Nothobranchius furzeri: one gene and its partner. The protein of the gene in region 2 purifies or fractionates together with the protein of the main gene of each other region. This does not show direct contact. Links are inferred from orthologs where the notes say so. Each region holds a gene or a part of one and is shown on either strand. Other genes may lie near its edges.

Region 1 (5,855 bases), on a different chromosome or scaffold from region 2:
AGATGCCGGCGAGGTTGGTACCAGTCCGTTACTCAGCTGGTTAATGAGGAGAGATGATGACTTCTGTTACCGCCCCAGTCTGAGAAGTCATGACTGATCGGTATTTCTTCTGATAGACTGATGGTTGCAGAGACCTTTTTATTAAGATCCATCGAAACGGGTCACTGATCCTTTTCTCTGTAGGTTTCCTGGTGATGGGAGGTCCGTTTGACTCCTGAAACCTGAACTGCTGCAGGTAAGCGTTGAGGTGAAGGTAGATGCTGAGATTGTGGAAATGATGACCCCCCCTCCATCCAGTCGAGGGAAATGGCTATATAGTACCGTTCTCGGCCAGCACCCCCTCTTGTTGACCCAGTATGGCACTGAAAACCCTACCCCTGTAGGTGTAAGGTGACCTGCTGGGTTCTGATGGTGTGGCGGTCTGGTTGAGTTCAATTGACTGAAAGCCAGGTTCTGATCACATCCCGGATGTCAAACTTTATGATGTTTAAATGGATCTAAGCAGCCAAATGCTTCATGATCATGAACATCTGGTCTTCTCTTTAGGCTCAGCAGCTGTGATGTGGTCAGATACCCAGAATGCTTTTGGTAAGTTTCATGTCTCCGTTAAACTTAACATGATCTAAATGGACGTGATGAGCAGGTGTTACCGCCCCAGTCTGATGTTTGGTGACTGATTGGTATCTTCTGATCTAGTGATTTAACATTTCCCAGATCTGAGATGTTCTTCTCATCCTAACTAGTCTCCTCCTCCTCCAGGCTCAGCGGATGCAGAAGTACTCCTGATCTCCTACAAACGTTTGCTGTTGGGTTGTGGTCTTGTTCTAGATTAAGCATTCCCTGAATGTGTTTTACCTTGTTTTCTACGTTAAGGTTTACTTTATTTGCTCCATTTGGATTGCTTTTATTTATCGTGGTTAACATTTCTGGTGCACCTAATTAAGCGCCTTGGGCTTCCTGACAGGAAGACGCTTTATAAATACAGCTTTGAGGTTTTTCACATTTTCCTGATTTTTAAATAAACTTAAAAAAAACATGGAGAATAGTCTGCTTTCCTATTTTTGTCCATTAGGTGTCAGTAGAGCTCAAACAACTCCAGCTAAAAATGCTGACTAATGTCAGCTTCTATGTACTTAAGTAGTTTGTTGCCAGGTGTGCACATCCTCAGGTGTGCATGCGCTGTCAGAATAAATAATGCGTACCGGGGGGGGGGATGCTTCAGCACACATTTGTGCACCTAAGACTGGAAGAAGAAACATTTCTGGAGCATATTAAAGATGTCCAAGAAGCAAGCTCCATTAATTATTTTGGTGTTCCTCCGCCTCCAAAAAAACTTCAGACTGAGTCGGAACCGCAAAAAAATATTTGTGGAAGTGGCTGCAGGAGGTCAGCTGGCTTCAAACTTAACAGATTCGGTGCAGATTATGCCGTGAAAATCTCACCCTGGCGGACCAGCGGCGCCTTTTACATAGGCACTAAAAACTTAAACCATCCAGCGTTTGATAAACATGCGAACAGCAGAGAACATCAGAAAGTTGTTCGGGAAGTCAATGAAGCCGGACGCAGCCAGGCCCATGATGAGGACGATGAGTAGAAATAAAGACGGTGTTTATGCCATTTAAAAAAACTTCTGTGCTCTGAAATGGTAATTAAGGGCTTTAAATTTTTATTTGATTTTATCACATAAGCAGCGATTTACATTGTGTTTTACATTCAGAAAATTCAGTCATGTTATTTGAAAATTAGGTTTTAAGTTAAGCTGGCAATATGTACATTTTCTTGTTTTCAGTCAAAATCAAAATGTTGCATCAACGCGTTTGTTTTGTTCCTATTGTGAGTTAAGAATTAAGTGCATTAAAAGTGAAGACCAAGCAGCAACCACGGGTTCTCCTGAGTACCAACACAAATATGATGGGCACCCGTTTGTAGCAACGAAGCTGAACAACTTCCTGAAAACTCAACTGGTTCTAGCTCCCAGGTCTAGCATCCCAAGGCAATTTCAGAAAGGCTAGTTTCATGACTTGTGGAATTTTAATACACTACAAATAAACCAGTCAAACCTAGATATCAAGTTTAATAAAATAAATCATGAAGCACAAATCAGCTGAAAAAAAAAAACAGGTTTTTACAGAAGTTTGGTTACCGCCGACCCTTAATCAGCAGTGAAGATCCTCGCTGCGATATCATCCGTTAACCAGTCCACTCCTGCTAACAAGTTGTCCCCCGTCACAGCGCTGCAGCCAATAATACACCAGTGGTGACTCTTGATGTCGTCCAGTGCCAGCGCCTGTAGAAGAACATCTCATGAGATTGTTGTGCTTTCTAATTATGAACACGTGAGAGTTGGGCTTACCTCTCTAATAGCTTCTTTAGACAATGCTCCTGGTAAGTCCTGCTTGTTGGCAAACACCAGCAGCGTAGCACCAGCTAACCTCTGCAGAGTCAACAACCACGCAGGATGTAAACAAAGACTCCAGCTCTAAACTGGAAAAAAGAGCATCATTTTGTGGAGGCACTTCTCGCTTTTGTCCGTATTTCACACTACTGTAGGTCTACACAATGTAGTTTCTGCAAGTATCTGAAGCACCTGTTCCTGATTTAATGGTTAGAATACCTCAATGCTTCAAGTTCTTTATGTAAAAGCAGCCACCAAGGACCAGGATCACTTATCTGCCTCTAAGGATCTTTGATTTTATGTCTTTATCACTGTTTCTCTGCAACAACGAGTCACCAATGTCACTTTTAACCAGAAAAATGGCCTGAATCTGTAGTAGTGGATGCAGTTTGACCTCCTCCAGCAGCAGAGCACTGAGCTCCTGCCTGCAGTCGCCCAGTCGGAGTCGATCAGCGCTGTCCACCACCCACACCAGCCCGTCGGTGCTCTCGAAGTAGTTCCTCCAGTAGGAGCGTAGAGACTTCTGACCACCTACGTCCCAGATGTTCAACTTAAACCTAAAAAACACAAAGTGCAACAAACCGTTTGTTTCCTGGATTGGAATAACTTGGCGTGGAATGGTCACGCGGAAGCAGCAGATGATGCATTAATTCGTTCCTTTTGTGTTGCGTGCGCGCGCGAGACCTGCGCAGCGCCGAACTTACCCCCTGTGCTCCAGAGTTTTGATGTTAAAGCCCAGTGTAGGCGAGATGGTGCTGACATCTTCTCCGTTAAACTTCTTCAGGATGGTGGTCTTCCCTGCGTTGTCCAGACCTCTGCACGCGACAGGTCAAAGAAAACACAACACACCTGACCACAACAAACCTAGCATAGCACACACAACGGGACTTAACAGGTTAAAGTAGGGCAAATAAAAGCGTTACGGAGCCAAGCGGCTGTTCCTTGTCTCGGTTATAAAGCGACACACTGGTACAAGAGACTTTTGTTGCTATTATTCAACGCAGATGAAGTTTTATTCTGAGATGCTAACCTTGTTTCTAGCTAGGCTAATCCGTTATAAAAAATAAAAGATACAACATGAGCAGCCGCATCTCGCGCTCCTTCTGCTTCATCTTCTTCAAAATCGTCAGCAAACCCATAACGATGCTTGTAGGTTCAAACAAAAATATATTAATATTAGTAATAAGTTAAAGGCTACAGCTCTGAGAGGTTAGCTTTCACAAAGATGAGCCATGATGCGACAGATTGCTTGTCCCACCCCCTCGCTACTGATGGTTTGATTTGATGGATTTTGATTGGTTGTTGGAGATTCTCAAAGCTGTATGATTGGCCAATTTGTGTTTTAGCGTGTGGTTTAACTTTTTAATACAAAATTTATCTTTATTACAAAGTCAAAAGTGCACTTAATTAGTTCTAAATTAAAATTCACAAGCCTGTAAAACTACATACATATATGTCTATGTATAAAACACGTTCATAAGACAAATTAAATATGTTTTTCGTTCATAGCCGACGCCATATTGGACAGGAGAAGTACAAATTTTCAACAACATTTCAGAATCATCACAGATAATTATCCAGCAGTAAAAACATGCATACAACGGAAATGAAATACTTAAAATATTCTACACAGCAGAAAAAAGTAGACCATATTTTTACAAGTAAAATGAGTATTTGGTCCATCAAATTCAGAATAACATGAATTTGTTTACTGTTTACTCTCATGCCACACCCCCAATTTCTCATGCTTTTACCAAAAAAAAAGTATCTGGAAATCTTATTGAAGTGATTGACAAATACACCCATGTGTAAGTCTGCTGACTTCTCGCATTACTGCAGGTCACAAACGCACAGGCTGGAAAATAGAAGCTGTTCTCTTTAAGGTGAACAGGTGGTTCATGTATTGGTGACTGGCTGCAACCGGCCCTCTCTGCACGACCTGTTCACCTGCAGAAGCATAAAGCAGGAACAAAAGATTGTGGCTGACCCATCTCACCCTGGACTTGTGCTGTTGGAGCTTCTCTGGGAGCTGGCTGTTTGTCCATTAGAGCAAAAGCCACGCCGCACAAACATTTAGATCTCCAGCTGGGCTGCTGAATGAGCCAGAGCAGCAACTTCATCCCCTAACAAGGACAACAACAAAGTGTACTGCACTATGAAAATGATTGACTTGAACCTTGACACACATTCATCTTTGTCATACCAGATGTTCATACGCTGTGTGTGTGTGTGTGTGTGTGTGTGTGTGTGTTTTCCTATAAGTGTTGACTGATTGGCTCCTGCACCAAAACTAGATCCTCCTGAGCTGCCTGGACATTAAACCTCACAGTGATTCTGATTATTGAAAGGCTGATTGAGCCTGTTTATCATCGTATAGCATCTCAGATCAGCTGATCCTCCACCAGTAAACAGAGGTGTGGACTCGAGTCACATGACTTGGACTTGAGTAAGACTCGAGTCATTATTTTAATAACTTCCGACTTGACTTGATAAAATCTATAAAGACTTACAACTTGACTTGGACTTGAATGCCAATGACTTGCGACTTGAATCGACTTGCATCTGTTGACGTGATGATGACTTGAACATATTTGATATTTTAGCACAAAAGTGACACGACATGGACAAAAATCATGAATCGTTCTTGGTTCTGGGTTTGATTTACTGCTGAATGCAGCAGCTCTTTGTTTATAATCAACTTCACTTTCTGCTTGTTTGAGCAAATAAATGAAACTTTAAGAAGCTTTAATTCTGGAATTTATTTATTATCATCATCATTAAATTCAAGTTGGACAGATGACTTGATTATGACTTGAAAAATCAAAGTTAAGGACTTGGACTTCCACATCAGTGACTTTGGACTCATCTTGGTTGCAGTGGCGGCGCCAGGGGGCGCTAGGGGGCGCTATAGCTACCCCTGGATTAGTCATGGCACCCCAAAGTAAATATTAGATTTTTTTTTCACACTTTAATTTTAATGTAACGTGTGGATGTGGTAATATTTAACATACAAAACAAAAATAATCAGTAAATTATCATATAAATAGTAAAAACTTTAACCAAAACAGGAAATTGATGTTAACCTTTGACCTCATTTTCCACCTGCAAACCATCGACATATAGGCCGTGTTCGAATTGAGCTGCACCTCGCCTGGAAAACAGACGAGAGCAGACGGAAGCAGCAGGGGGAGTGGCTGAAAGCCGGCGTTTAAGTCGGACAGATTTCCCTACATGTGTAACTCGGGGGTGACGATGGCTGAAGATATCGCGTCAGCGTTCATACTTGTTTAATTTTCAATTTTAATTCTGGTGCCTGTTAGCAGCTGAAACACGTCCTCACGTGCTTGTGGATATCATATATTGTATATGGAGACATGACTGTAATAATAAGTAAAGGTTATCAGCTGCAGCTTCAGTGTGCTCATAGGAAACGTGACAAAAGAAAACAAATCACATTTCT
Region 2 (5,880 bases):
TTTCAGAGATTTTAATCATTTCATTTCTAATTTGTAATCTCCTAAAACACAAGTAGAGGAACACAATGTACCATAATCCCACATAGACGGAATTTTGTTAAAGTACAGCAAAAAGTACAGATAACAACTAAAAGAATACTTCAAATGTATTTAAGTACTGTGACCAATTTATATATATGTATAAGTAGCTCAAGCTAGCACCGACATATGGTAACGCAGTCATTTGTGCTTTCAGCAGCTCCTCCCTCTCTAAACAAACATCCACTCGCTGGTTTTTCTTAAAACTAAATCTGAGATGCGTTGAAGACCTGCGAACACCAAGGGTTTTACGTGAGATGTTGCAATCCGTACACACAGGAAGCTAGCTAAACGGGTTAACTCGTGATTAAATATCTACGCTATCGATGTACTAAAGAGCACGGCAGCAGATGAAACAACTGTTTACATTTCACACCATTAAACTTTACTCCAAACCATTTGTTTTCTTTCAGCTTCCGTTATTTGGTTAATATAAAGCAACTCACCAGTTCAGAATGAAATTAAACCAGTTTCCAGGTTGCTAAGACGTCGCTCCTCAGTAGGAATCAAAAAAATGTCTGTTGTTTAGAGGGGAATGTTTACTGACCACGCCCATCCTCACTGCAAACCATTTATGTGATTTGTTTACTGACATCTAGCGGTGGGCGCGAGAACTGCAACTCACAGATGATGTGATAGACAGACAGACAGACATGTTATCAATCAGTACTAAAAGAACGGGAAAAAGCTATTCTGAATAAAAACAATTGTTGCACATTGCAGTCCATACATGAAGAACAGAAATAAAAAAAATCAAATCAATCCTAAAACAACAAGTCACGGTGGATGGAAAACTATAACTATAATTTGATGTTGATGATAATGTTTAATTGTAATTAATTCTGTCAAATAATGTTGAAGCTCTATATTTACCGGTCGATCTAATTCTCACTTATGGTCACAAGCTTTGGAGACCGAAAGAATGAGATTGCGGTTACAAGCGGCCAAAATGAGTTTTCTCTGCAGGGTGGCTGGGCTCTTCCTTAGAGATAGGGTGAGAAGCTCAAGCTCGGTCATCTGGGAGGGGCTTGAAGTAGACCTGCTGCTCCTTCACATTGAAAAGAGCCAGTTGAAGTAGCTCATGCATCTGGTTAGGATGCTTCCTGGATGTTTTCCTGGTGAGGTTTTTCCGGGCATGTCCAAACAGGAGGAGAACCGAAGAAAGACCCAGGACATGCTGGTGGGAATATGTCTCTCACCTTGGGATTCCCTTGGAAGAGCTGGCCCAAGTGACTAGGGAGAGGGAAGTCTGGGCCTCCCTGCTTAGGCTGCTGCCCCCAATGGAAAATGGATGGATGGATGAATAATGCTGATAGTTGTGTTTTTGTGAATGATTGTGAAGCAGAAAATCCATTCATTGATTTTTTTTGTATCTCCCTTTTTCTGTAAGGGTCATGAGGAGCTGTTACAACTGAGCAGGCAAGGGGAATGGGACACTGTAGACAGGTCACAAGTCCATCACAGACATGCAAGTGGAGACAAACAAGACAAGCAACCAATCACACACACACACACACACACACACACACACACACACGTAGGAAAAAGAGTTGCCCATCAAATCAAACTTATACATTTTTGTTCTGTGGGGCCCATCTGTGCCACCTATACACACAATCAGCCAATCAGATCTAGTCATACTGTTTTATTGGTCTAACCAACGTTTTCAGTATATTATCAAAATAAAGAAAAGACAGAGTTTAAAGGAGCTAACTGTCATTCTGCCCCAACTGCACACTGGAATTGCTGCCATCTGTTTTCTCACACAGTCGCAGCGATGATCAGCCCCGGCTGACACTAAAACAGCTGTAATGCATATTTCTGGACACCAGCTGGTAAAATTCTGGTCAATCTCCTTTTCCAATTCCCACTCCCTGATCTGCAGCCGACACGTTCCTCCTCCCCCTGCCGGTCCTCTCGGCCAATCGGCGCGTGCAGAAGCGTGTTGTGGGCGTGGCCGCGCCCCTCTCTGGAGACGCTCCAGCCTTATAAATCCATTGTCCCCCCGGTCTCTTGTCACAAGTCGGCTCGTGCTCGTCCACTTTAATCACATCGCACCTTTTTTCCCGTGAAACCTTCGCACCCATCATGAGGGAGATCGTGCACATCCAGGCCGGCCAGTGTGGTAACCAGATCGGTGCCAAGGTAAGCTCAGAAAATCTGTATAAAATGTTTCTGTGGAATAAAACAGGAGTTACTTTTGCGTTACTTTGTCTAAAGCATTCACAATTACTGTTATATGGATTTATTAACTGATGAAGATAAAGAAATTTACATAAATATGTAATGAAATAAAAAAGTAGTAATGGTCCAGTCTTTGTGAGCACTGCAGTGCACACAACACCGGGTGTGTCTGCGTCCCAGCTCCTAGGATTCAGCCCATCTCAACGCACTGATTTAGGGAAAAAGACAAAGGAAAGAGGGGAAAATGACTCTTTTCTTCTCATGTCAGACCCCCACAGCCTGTGGAGCCTTCACTCTGCTTGCTTTGTCTGGCCCAGGCTGATATGACTGGTGTTTCAGACAATGAGTGGAAGTCTGGATTAAAGGCCTAGTTACCCCCCACCCCCAGATGTCTATGAATCAATAGCACATATTGATTAGATTTGAGTTCTGCAGGCTGCAAAGGCAGACTGCAGGGTGAGCTATTCTATTGGGACGTGATGGAAGGGTGTGGCATGAATAATTGTGAGAAGACAAGTCATTCTCTCCTTTTTTCTGCAAAAAAACACCCTTATGTGTTATTTACTATAATATTCTATTCATCTGATATAATTTGTCATTGCATCATTTAATAGTAAAGTCTAAAATGTTCATCAATGACATCACCCGCCCAGTCTGTCTCTTAGCAGCCGCAGTCTGCAACAATAGGTCTGGGTGGCCCATTATTTCTGCTGTCTTATTGTCTTATTTTTGTTTTACAACTGATCATTTGTAAACGCATGCACACGCTCAAATCCATGCCCTGGAATTAAGAACCCATGAACATTAGCCCGGATTAATGAAGGGTGATCTTTCTGGCTGAGATGTCCTGGAAAGCAGAATCTTTCCTCCCCTAACCAAATTAAGAGAAGGGTGGGGGAGGAATGGAGGAAACAGCTGATGCACAGCGGACGCAAAGTCTCCATTTCCAGTGGCCTTAATGGGCAATAGTTGTCTTCCCAAAGGCACACAACAGATGGCCTTTATATTTTATTAGACATATTTTTATCAAGCTTGTACTGTTAATCATTTTCCCTTGTTCGGGTCACCGCTTTGGCCTGTATGATCGGCTAAAACTACTAGGAGTGGTCTATCAGAGAGCCAACTCGTTTGTTTCCGTCCCCTGGGGGCTCATCGACTCCGATGTGCAGGATTTATGACGGCCAGAGATGCTGAGCGGCTGCACGGTGGTCAAATGGGTCAGGGTGTGGCCTTGCTTTTCCTGCTCGTTGTCCTCATTCTTTCACTGTGATCTTCATCATCACTGATGGGCCGTCCATCAGTTTCTGTCTTCTCACTTCTGCGTCTCTAGCATCGCTCACCCTCGTCTCGTGACATTTAAATGTCAAGATTTGTACTCCACAGCCGTTTGTCTGCAGTGCAGCCGGCGTTAACGGGAGGCTGTAAAGTCTCATTTTGCAGCTGAATACCATAAATCTAAGTGAATGTGTAAAAAAGCAGGAAATGCAGACATGCAGAGGATTTCCTACAGTATCTTAGTGGATTTAATGCGTACCCAGCCTCCCAGAGCTCCGTGGGCTTTTAAAGCCGGAGCAGGACTTGAATACAAATTTAAAGGCCCTCATTGTCCTCGGTGTTGTGTGAGACGCCTTTTTCATTTTCAGTTTGGCCTTCGGAGTGATCAGTGGCTCCTTTGTGCTCCTCCTCCTTCACGTTTTACATATGAAAGCGTTGCATAGCTTTCTGCAGAGTCATGAGCTGGCAGCTTTGGAAATATTTGCAGCTGCTCTGCAGGAAACTGCTTGAATCCTAGCGTATCCTCCAGAATATAAATATGCAAACCCATTGCTGTTATCCTCATTTAAAGTCCCAAAAGGCCTGTAGCTTAGAAGTGAAATGAGTCCCGTCATGTGATTCCTGTCTGCAGTTCTGGGAAGTGATCAGCGACGAGCACGGCATCGATCCCACTGGGACGTACCACGGAGACAGCGACTTGCAGCTGGACAGGATCAGCGTCTACTACAACGAGGCCACAGGTAGACCGTCGTCCTGAAAGGCTTTTCATGACATAAGATGTGCTGTTCCATAATATTTTTGTCCATTGCATTGCTAAGCTGCGATGTAAATGTTACGGTTTCCTCTTTTCCCTTCTGCTCTCCCGTTCACTTTCCTGTGGAGGAGGTAAATATGTTCCCAGGGCCATTCTTGTGGATTTGGAGCCCGGGACCATGGACTCTGTGAGGTCTGGACCTTTTGGGCAAATCTTCAGACCTGACAATTTCGTCTTTGGTGAGTGTCTTCCAGAGAAATCCTTTTACAATATCTGTGATCTGTATGAACTTAGAAAACAAAGTCTCACTTCTTCCACAGGCCAGAGTGGTGCTGGAAACAACTGGGCCAAGGGTCACTACACAGAGGGGGCCGAGTTGGTGGACTCGGTCCTGGATGTGGTCCGTAAAGAGTCCGAGAGCTGTGACTGCCTGCAGGGCTTCCAGCTCACCCACTCTCTTGGAGGTGGGACTGGATCTGGAATGGGAACCCTCCTCATCAGCAAGATTCGTGAGGAGTACCCAGACCGAATCATGAATACCTTTAGCGTGGTGCCTTCCCCCAAGGTGACCCGTCCTTGTGATAGTGCCTGAAAAGTTCTGTTTTTAATTAGAGTTTGTTTAGCCGTAGGGTCTTCTGCTAACATCACAAGACCGAATCAACACTGTGTGTGTTTACAGGTGTCGGACACGGTGGTAGAACCCTACAACGCCACCCTATCAGTACATCAGCTTGTAGAGAACACAGATGAAACTTACTGCATTGACAACGAGGCTCTGTATGACATTTGCTTCCGCACACTGAAGCTGACCACACCCACCTATGGTGACCTGAACCACCTGGTCTCTGCCACCATGAGCGGTGTCACCACATGCCTGCGATTCCCAGGCCAGCTCAATGCTGATCTCCGCAAATTGGCTGTCAACATGGTGCCTTTCCCTCGTTTGCACTTCTTCATGCCAGGCTTTGCACCCCTGACCAGCCGGGGCAGCCAACAGTACCGCGCCCTGACCGTTCCCGAGCTCACCCAGCAGGTGTTTGACGCCAAGAACATGATGGCTGCGTGCGATCCTCGTCACGGCCGCTATCTGACCGTCGCCGCTGTGTTCCGAGGCCGCATGTCCATGAAGGAGGTCGACGAACAAATGCTCAACGTTCAGAACAAGAACAGCAGTTACTTTGTTGAATGGATCCCCAACAACGTCAAGACCGCCGTCTGTGACATTCCACCTCGTGGCCTTAAGATGGCTGTCACCTTCATAGGCAACAGCACGGCCATCCAGGAGCTGTTTAAGCGCATCTCTGAGCAGTTCACAGCCATGTTCCGCCGCAAGGCCTTCTTGCATTGGTACACAGGTGAAGGTATGGATGAGATGGAGTTCACGGAGGCAGAGAGCAACATGAACGACCTGGTGTCTGAGTACCAGCAGTACCAGGATGCTACTGCTGAAGAGGAGGGCGAGTTTGAGGAGGAGGCTGAAGACGATGCTTAAAGATCAAGATGTGAAGATGAAGAACACAAAGCCAAAATGAAACTTTCAAAGGAACAAACCACAAATAAACAAGAAACCATGTTGGTGTCAATAGCAT

Evidence for each region. Proteins that work in one complex are often made in the same cells at the same time.
Region 1: the proteins of tubb5 (region 2) and arl2 purify together in Homo sapiens (co-immunoprecipitation; 3 studies listed by BioGRID and IntAct, counting the BioPlex papers as one, with this or other methods). This does not show direct contact. The link is inferred for Nothobranchius furzeri from reciprocal best matches to the Homo sapiens genes TUBB and ARL2.

What each region holds. Positions count from the first base shown.
Region 1 is NC_091754.1:61,092,874-61,098,728, reverse strand, and holds arl2 (ADP-ribosylation factor-like protein 2), read right to left. Parts: upstream 3,663-5,855; 5' UTR 3,535-3,662; coding exon 3,470-3,534; intron 3,211-3,469; coding exon 3,100-3,210; intron 2,953-3,099; coding exon 2,790-2,952; intron 2,435-2,789; coding exon 2,354-2,434; intron 2,288-2,353; coding exon 2,153-2,287; 3' UTR 1,644-2,152; downstream 1-1,643. UniProt on the Homo sapiens protein: Small GTP-binding protein which cycles between an inactive GDP-bound and an active GTP-bound form, and the rate of cycling is regulated by guanine nucleotide exchange factors (GEF) and GTPase-activating proteins (GAP).
Region 2 is NC_091745.1:74,452,766-74,458,645, forward strand, and holds the start of tubb5 (tubulin beta-5 chain), read left to right. Parts: upstream 1-2,066; 5' UTR 2,067-2,166; coding exon 2,167-2,223; intron 2,224-4,168; coding exon 4,169-4,277; intron 4,278-4,419; coding exon 4,420-4,530; intron 4,531-4,611; coding exon 4,612-4,856; intron 4,857-4,970; coding exon 4,971-5,783; 3' UTR 5,784-5,880. UniProt on the Homo sapiens protein: Tubulin is the major constituent of microtubules, a cylinder consisting of laterally associated linear protofilaments composed of alpha- and beta-tubulin heterodimers.